2 linked regions of the Saccharomyces cerevisiae S288C genome follow. Each later gene encodes a partner of the first gene's protein in a complex. Each region holds a gene or a part of one and is shown in the gene's direction. Other genes may lie near its edges.

The links.
Region 2: the proteins of BBC1 (region 1) and LAS17 are in contact, whole or in part, in a crystal structure (PDB 1ZUK), measured with the Saccharomyces cerevisiae proteins. Residues at the interface, in NP_012514.2 of Saccharomyces cerevisiae: Phe14 (codon at 2,040), Tyr16 (codon at 2,046), Tyr20 (codon at 2,058), Asp23 (codon at 2,067), Asp39 (codon at 2,115), Glu41 (codon at 2,121), Trp42 (codon at 2,124), Ile58 (codon at 2,172), Pro60 (codon at 2,178), Ser62 (codon at 2,184), Phe63 (codon at 2,187); in NP_014824.1 of Saccharomyces cerevisiae: Arg350 (codon at 3,304), Gly351 (codon at 3,307), Pro352 (codon at 3,310), Ala353 (codon at 3,313), Pro354 (codon at 3,316), Pro355 (codon at 3,319), Pro356 (codon at 3,322), Pro357 (codon at 3,325).

Annotation. Positions count from the first base shown.
Region 1 is NC_001142.9:400,486-404,410, reverse strand, and holds the start of BBC1 (Bbc1p), read left to right. Parts: upstream 1-2,000; coding exon 2,001-3,925. Other genes in the region: MPS3 (Mps3p), read right to left, coding at 1-1,514. UniProt on the Saccharomyces cerevisiae protein: Involved in the regulation of actin cytoskeleton.
Region 2 is NC_001147.6:673,683-677,607, forward strand, and holds the start of LAS17 (actin-binding protein LAS17), read left to right. Parts: upstream 1-2,256; coding exon 2,257-3,925. Other genes in the region: putative dodecenoyl-CoA isomerase DCI1, read right to left, coding at 670-1,485.

The DNA of each region.
Region 1 (3,925 bases):
CCATGCATGTACGAAATTTTGGTTAGATACAAAGGAGTTTTAAACCTTATGGCCCATGAACACCCAGGTTCGTTCTCACATTGCCAGTAAGTTGAGGAGCTTTGTTTGGAGTCGGTCAGTAATTCTATCGGCTGTACCCCACTGCCCTGTCTCCAGGTTGGTGAAGTTAAATGGTTCAATAGTTTAGTACCTTGAACATAAGTAGCAAAATCTAAATCGTCCTCCCATTGGTGTTGATTGGAATTGTAAATTTGGTGAATTAATCTTTTCATTAATATGCTCGAATACTGCTGTGGCACGTTAGAATAATCCTGTTGAACCTGCTGCTGCTGCTGCTGCTGCTGTGTCTCTAACCTATTTGTGATCTCTTCCCAAATCTCCTGTTTGTTAGATTGCAACCTTCTGTTCATTTCTTGGATGAAATAATCCTTATCGATATATTGCAACTCATTCGAAAGAATTTCCTTTACATAGCGATTCAAATCATACTCCCAACGACTTTCAGCGCTTCCAGCAGTACCAATGCCTGGAGACTCAATAACGTCTGAAATCAAAGCACTCAAATAATTGTGCAATTCAGGGATTATTAAAAGCGACGAAGAATTATTAATTACAACGGGTATTTCTTGAGGGAGGTGTGTATCCAACTGTTTTACCAGTTGATCTTGCCATTGAGTAACATTCTCGACCGTAAATTTGTGATTTCGCCTCTGTAACTCACTCATGGAAGTTGAAATTGTCTCAACCTGTTTTGTCAGCGAGTTAATGTCATTTTCAAAATTAACCAAATTTGAGGGTAAAAGTCTTTTAATATTCTTTTCAAATTGAGAGACAATGATTTTTACTGTTTTATCCAATTCTGAACTGTGCTTTTCGTCCCGCTTACTCAACTCACTATATAAATGATTCACCTGTTTTTGTAGGTTGCTGAATGATTTGCCTGGAGAGGATGTAGCGCCGGATGAATGGCTTTCTAAATCATTATTTTTCACGGTTGTCATCAAAAAAGATCCAAAAAAATAAAAAACGAAGAAAAGGCCTCCATAGAAAATGTACGTCCGCCACTTCAACTTCTTAGCTTCACCTGAACTTTCCAAGTTCTCTTCAAAGTCAGAATTACTTTCCAAATCGTAGCTGTCGGAATCGCTGTCTTCTATAAAACTCTTGTCTGCCTCATCTGTATAGTCCTCGTCGCTATATCCGTCGGTCTCTTGTCCATTATCCTCAATGTACGGATCATCATCGTCGTCATCATTATGTTGGTCTAACGGAAAATCAAGATTTTTTTTGAACATTTCGTACGCGGAATCATTCTCTTTATCCATATCATAGTTGTCAGTTTCACCGCCATCGGTGTATATCCCTTTTTTGATGGCTCGTAGGCTAATCTCCTGTTCCCTATTCATTTTGTCCTTGAGGACATCTGCATACGCGGACTTTACAGCCTTATTGTAAGGCATTTGTTCATTAGCCGCTCCTGCCTCTTCCCGCCTATGCTCATTTGAGTTATTCATTTCCAGCACTTCCAGGATAAAAGTTACTACCAACTGAAAACAAGAGAAACCGCCGTGAAACTATGGAGCACTACAGTTAAAACACCACTAACTCCACTCTGTTGACTTTTATCTGTAACTCCTCATGACAACCTTGTTGATAATTATCTCAAGATGACGATATTTACATTGTCATTATATTCCATTTTCGCGTCTCATATGTTACCCGTATCAAAGAGTATAACCCTATCAATAAGTGATGTGTATCATTTATAAACCTCATATTTTAAGAATAAACCTATATAATATAGGAATATACCCTGAAAATAGTTAGAGGTCTACAATGCCCCTATTTTACCTCCAGAATTATAATCTCCTTAAGACTTCAACTAGAAGTGGTATTTACTAGCACACTGTGAAACAGTAGCGTCAAGTCGGTAGTAAACATCAATCGCGTCCCAACTGCAAGAGCTACTAGAAGTAAACACAGTCTTACCCAAACTAAGGATGAGTGAACCCGAAGTGCCCTTCAAGGTGGTGGCTCAGTTCCCATACAAGTCCGATTACGAGGACGATTTAAATTTTGAAAAAGATCAAGAGATTATTGTTACGTCTGTTGAAGACGCCGAATGGTACTTTGGTGAATACCAGGATTCAAATGGCGACGTTATTGAGGGTATCTTCCCGAAAAGTTTTGTTGCTGTTCAGGGATCTGAAGTTGGAAAGGAAGCCGAATCATCTCCGAATACCGGTTCCACTGAGCAACGTACAATCCAGCCGGAAGTAGAACAAAAGGACCTACCAGAGCCCATTTCCCCTGAAACGAAGAAAGAAACTCTGTCCGGGCCAGTGCCAGTTCCAGCCGCTACAGTGCCAGTTCCAGCCGCTACAGTGCCAGTTCCAGCCGCTACAGCAGTATCAGCACAGGTCCAGCATGATAGTAGTAGTGGTAATGGCGAAAGAAAAGTTCCCATGGATTCTCCAAAATTGAAGGCTCGCTTATCTATGTTTAATCAAGATATAACGGAGCAAGTTCCTTTACCAAAATCAACTCACTTGGATTTAGAAAACATACCTGTGAAAAAAACAATTGTGGCAGATGCTCCTAAATACTATGTCCCCCCTGGAATTCCAACAAATGATACGTCCAATCTTGAAAGGAAAAAGTCCCTAAAGGAAAACGAAAAAAAGATTGTTCCCGAACCAATTAATCGTGCACAGGTGGAAAGTGGAAGAATAGAAACTGAGAATGACCAATTAAAGAAGGATTTGCCCCAGATGAGCCTTAAAGAAAGAATTGCTCTTTTACAGGAGCAACAAAGATTACAGGCTGCAAGAGAAGAAGAACTCTTGAGAAAAAAGGCTAAGCTCGAACAAGAACATGAACGTAGTGCGGTTAACAAGAATGAGCCCTATACGGAAACTGAAGAAGCAGAAGAAAATGAAAAAACTGAACCGAAACCTGAATTTACGCCTGAAACTGAGCACAACGAGGAACCGCAAATGGAATTATTGGCACATAAAGAGATTACTAAAACCTCACGCGAAGCAGATGAAGGCACGAATGACATAGAGAAAGAACAATTTTTAGATGAGTACACAAAGGAAAATCAGAAAGTTGAGGAGTCACAAGCAGACGAGGCAAGAGGAGAAAATGTTGCTGAGGAAAGCGAAATAGGTTACGGCCATGAAGACAGAGAGGGAGATAATGATGAGGAAAAAGAAGAGGAAGATAGTGAAGAGAATCGTAGGGCCGCATTGAGAGAAAGAATGGCTAAACTATCTGGCGCTAGTAGATTCGGTGCTCCTGTTGGTTTTAACCCCTTCGGTATGGCTTCTGGAGTTGGAAATAAACCATCAGAAGAGCCGAAAAAGAAACAGCATAAGGAGAAGGAGGAGGAGGAACCTGAACAGCTCCAAGAACTACCTCGTGCCATACCTGTTATGCCATTTGTTGACCCAAGTTCTAACCCATTTTTTAGGAAATCAAATCTAAGTGAGAAGAATCAACCCACTGAAACAAAGACGCTAGATCCTCATGCAACCACAGAGCATGAACAGAAGCAAGAACATGGTACACACGCCTATCACAATTTAGCTGCTGTTGATAATGCACATCCCGAATACTCTGACCATGATTCTGATGAAGATACTGACGACCACGAGTTTGAGGATGCAAACGATGGGTTGAGAAAGCATTCGATGGTGGAGCAAGCTTTTCAGATAGGTAATAATGAGTCAGAGAATGTTAATTCCGGAGAAAAAATTTACCCTCAAGAACCACCAATCTCCCACCGTACTGCAGAAGTATCACATGATATTGAAAATTCATCACAAAACACAACTGGAAATGTTTTGCCTGTCTCTTCCCCACAAACAAGAGTTGCTCGCAACGGGTCGATAAATTCTTTGACTAAATCCATTTCAGGGGA
Region 2 (3,925 bases), on another chromosome or scaffold:
ATCAATCCCGTATGAATGGATGGCTTACATATCTTGGAACGCAGACTTCGAAATTAAGTATTTAGGAGTGAGAATGTGCGTTAGCATTTTGTCTCATATCTAAATATTCAAGTTTAACTTGTATTATTTGTCCTCAGTACAAGAGGTGTACGGCTTTTGAAAGTCCACTCCCCCATTTTTATCCGGATCTCTGCCGCTGGATTCTATTTTGTCACAAAGTTTGTGCCTTGGAGAGCGCCGTTTGCCAGCCCGTCATCAGTAGGACCCTTTTGTGCGGCTGCCAAATTTTCTAGAGATACCGCCGCGGCCGCCTCTTGTCTGGAAGAATTTGCATTGCCAAGGAAATTGATTCAGTTCATTAAGTACAGTTGTGAAGCACTTTAGTTACTTAACATGAATGACAGTTTTATTAGGTGTAAAAAAAAATCCTTTTTTTCAGAGAGCTATTTGTAAATATTATATGAATATTAAAAAACATCCTTTTTGAGTAAGAATTCCTATGAAACAAAATGGAACAATTTCACTTATATTGTAAGCGGATTTTACAACAGATATAAAATATTGTGCGCCAACATTAAAGTATTAAAGAACCCGGAATTTAACAATTGCAGAAGTATGATCGTGTAGTAGATTTTTTATGTTAAAATCCTATCTCTAAATGCTATATTATTATAACTTGTGGCGCCTGTTTCCCTCTTGAAGCTGTTTAAATCTTTTGAATGGCTCGCCGCTTGCCCAAAAAGGCAAGGTTCCGTTAGTCTCCATTGCTTGTGCTTTGATAAGCTTCTGTTTCATTTCACTGTGTAACAATTCTTTCATACCTAGTACACTTTTCGGATAAAGCCCTTCTAAATTCTGCTTTATGTCCTGAAGAACTTTTTCATTGAATGTTTCAGTATTTGTCAATTGATAATTTTTTGTAATAATAGTTCCTATCAATTCTTTAAATAGAACTGGTGTGCTGAAAATCATATGTTCGTTTGCAGAATTTATACCCAGTTTTTGAGTTAAGGTAACAGAAGTTCCCACTTCTGCGACAAAACCGAGATTGCTGAAGGGAAAAAGAAGAAATACTGAATCGTTTTGCGAGTAAACAATGTCACAAAGAGCAACTAGCGATGCGCTAAGTCCGATGGCCGGTCCATTCAAACAGCACACCAGAACCTTTTTATGGATTGCAAATGCGTTCGCCACAAATATGTTAGGAGAGCTTATAGCAGATACCAGCTTTGAGACTTTCTCCACTTCGCTTGTAACGTCTCCATCGTTTAGCTTGTTAACTGCTGAAAACTTACCTCCCGAGGAGAAATACTTGCCTGAGCTTTGTAGAACAGTAAACAAAACAGAATCAATATCGTTTGCCTTATGCAGTAATAGTGCAATGTATACAAAATCCTCGAAAGTTAAAGAGTTCAAATGTTTTGGATCAATTAATTTGATTATGAAAAAGGGACCATTAATATGGTAGCACACACGACTGCTCATAGTTAGAAGATAACTCACTAGACTTAACACCAGAAAATCCTACTCTGTAATAAAATAATCCCGGGGTAATGGATTGGATTTTTCTATCAGGATCGTTTACGTATATATAATACACTGTCGGAGTTTAGCGCGCTTACAGCCGCTACTTGTGGAGTCCTTTTTTTTTTTTTTTTTTTGGGGTTTCAGACATCCAGTAAAGAATAGAAACAAGCAACAAACTTCAGAACTGAAACAATGCTTTTTTAAGTTATCGCCTAAATATATTCAAAAAATATAGATATGCTAGATTTTCAATTATACCAAAGTTCATATTTTCAAAATGAATGTTAACAAAAAGACAAGTTGATGGCCCTTTTTCATAAAGTATGCGTTTAGTTTCAAGTAACGCCGGCTGACGTGGACGATTTATCAAAGAAGTGGTTTTGGAATACTCTTCTTTTGCAATTAGAAAAAAGGCAAAACTAAATGCAATGCAAGCAGTTGCCCATGGTACTTGAAATTGTGTCTCTGGTTTAAAAGATCTATGATATAAGTCTTAACTGATCTTATAGTTGTTTTTTTTTGAATTTTCCAAATAGTTTATATGATCATTGAATACGTGCGAGACGTCCGAAAAGGGGCCAGTCAATACCTATGAAAAAAAATCATGAATATGTAATAATAAATATTGAATGTAGAATATACATAGTAGAAAAGGAAGTGCTGTAGCGATTGCCATCTCCGCTACAAATTACAGTTCGTTACTTTAAGTGTTGATAGGCGTGATTTAATATGGGACTCCTAAACTCTTCAGATAAGGAAATTATCAAAAGGGCTCTACCAAAAGCGTCGAATAAGATTATTGATGTTACGGTGGCTCGACTATACATTGCATACCCTGATAAAAATGAATGGCAGTACACTGGACTTTCAGGAGCTCTTGCTCTAGTAGACGATCTTGTGGGGAATACTTTTTTTTTGAAATTAGTTGACATCAATGGCCATAGAGGAGTTATCTGGGACCAAGAATTGTATGTGAATTTTGAATACTATCAAGACCGTACTTTTTTTCATACATTTGAGATGGAAGAATGCTTTGCAGGTTTATTGTTTGTAGATATTAATGAAGCATCGCACTTTTTAAAGAGAGTTCAAAAGCGTGAAAGATATGCTAACAGGAAAACTTTGTTGAACAAAAATGCTGTAGCATTAACCAAGAAAGTAAGAGAAGAACAAAAATCTCAAGTGGTGCACGGCCCAAGAGGGGAGTCATTGATTGACAATCAAAGGAAAAGATATAATTATGAAGATGTGGACACAATTCCAACTACAAAGCATAAGGCTCCTCCCCCTCCTCCGCCAACGGCCGAAACATTTGATTCAGACCAAACAAGTTCATTTTCCGATATCAATTCGACAACAGCATCCGCACCGACTACCCCAGCCCCTGCTCTTCCTCCTGCATCTCCTGAAGTAAGAAAAGAAGAAACGCATCCAAAGCATAGTTTACCGCCTTTACCAAATCAGTTTGCGCCATTACCAGACCCTCCACAACATAACTCTCCACCTCAAAATAACGCGCCTTCGCAACCCCAAAGCAATCCATTTCCATTCCCAATTCCTGAAATTCCCTCGACACAGTCTGCAACAAACCCATTTCCATTTCCGGTACCTCAGCAGCAGTTTAATCAAGCTCCTTCAATGGGCATACCACAGCAGAATAGGCCCCTTCCACAGTTGCCTAACAGAAATAATCGGCCTGTGCCACCTCCTCCGCCAATGCGTACCACTACTGAAGGTTCAGGTGTTCGCCTACCTGCTCCTCCACCTCCGCCAAGGCGTGGGCCAGCACCACCGCCTCCACCACATAGGCACGTAACCAGTAATACCCTGAATTCTGCCGGTGGAAATAGCCTCCTTCCACAGGCCACTGGAAGAAGAGGGCCAGCACCACCACCTCCTCCAAGAGCATCTCGCCCCACACCAAACGTTACGATGCAACAAAATCCACAACAGTACAATAATTCTAACCGCCCCTTTGGATATCAGACAAATAGCAACATGTCATCTCCACCCCCTCCTCCAGTGACAACTTTCAATACCCTGACACCACAAATGACTGCAGCAACTGGACAACCTGCAGTTCCCCTTCCTCAGAATACTCAAGCACCTTCGCAAGCCACAAATGTGCCAGTGGCACCACCACCTCCTCCGGCATCTTTAGGCCAGTCGCAGATACCTCAGTCAGCACCCTCAGCACCTATTCCGCCAACGTTACCATCGACGACGAGTGCTGCACCACCTCCGCCACCAGCATTCCTAACTCAACAACCTCAATCTGGAGGAGCTCCAGCTCCACCCCCACCTCCTCAAATGCCAGCTACATCAACATCCGGAGGCGGTTCATTCGCTGAAACTACTGGAGATGCAGGTCGTGATGCACTTTTAGCTTCAATTAGAG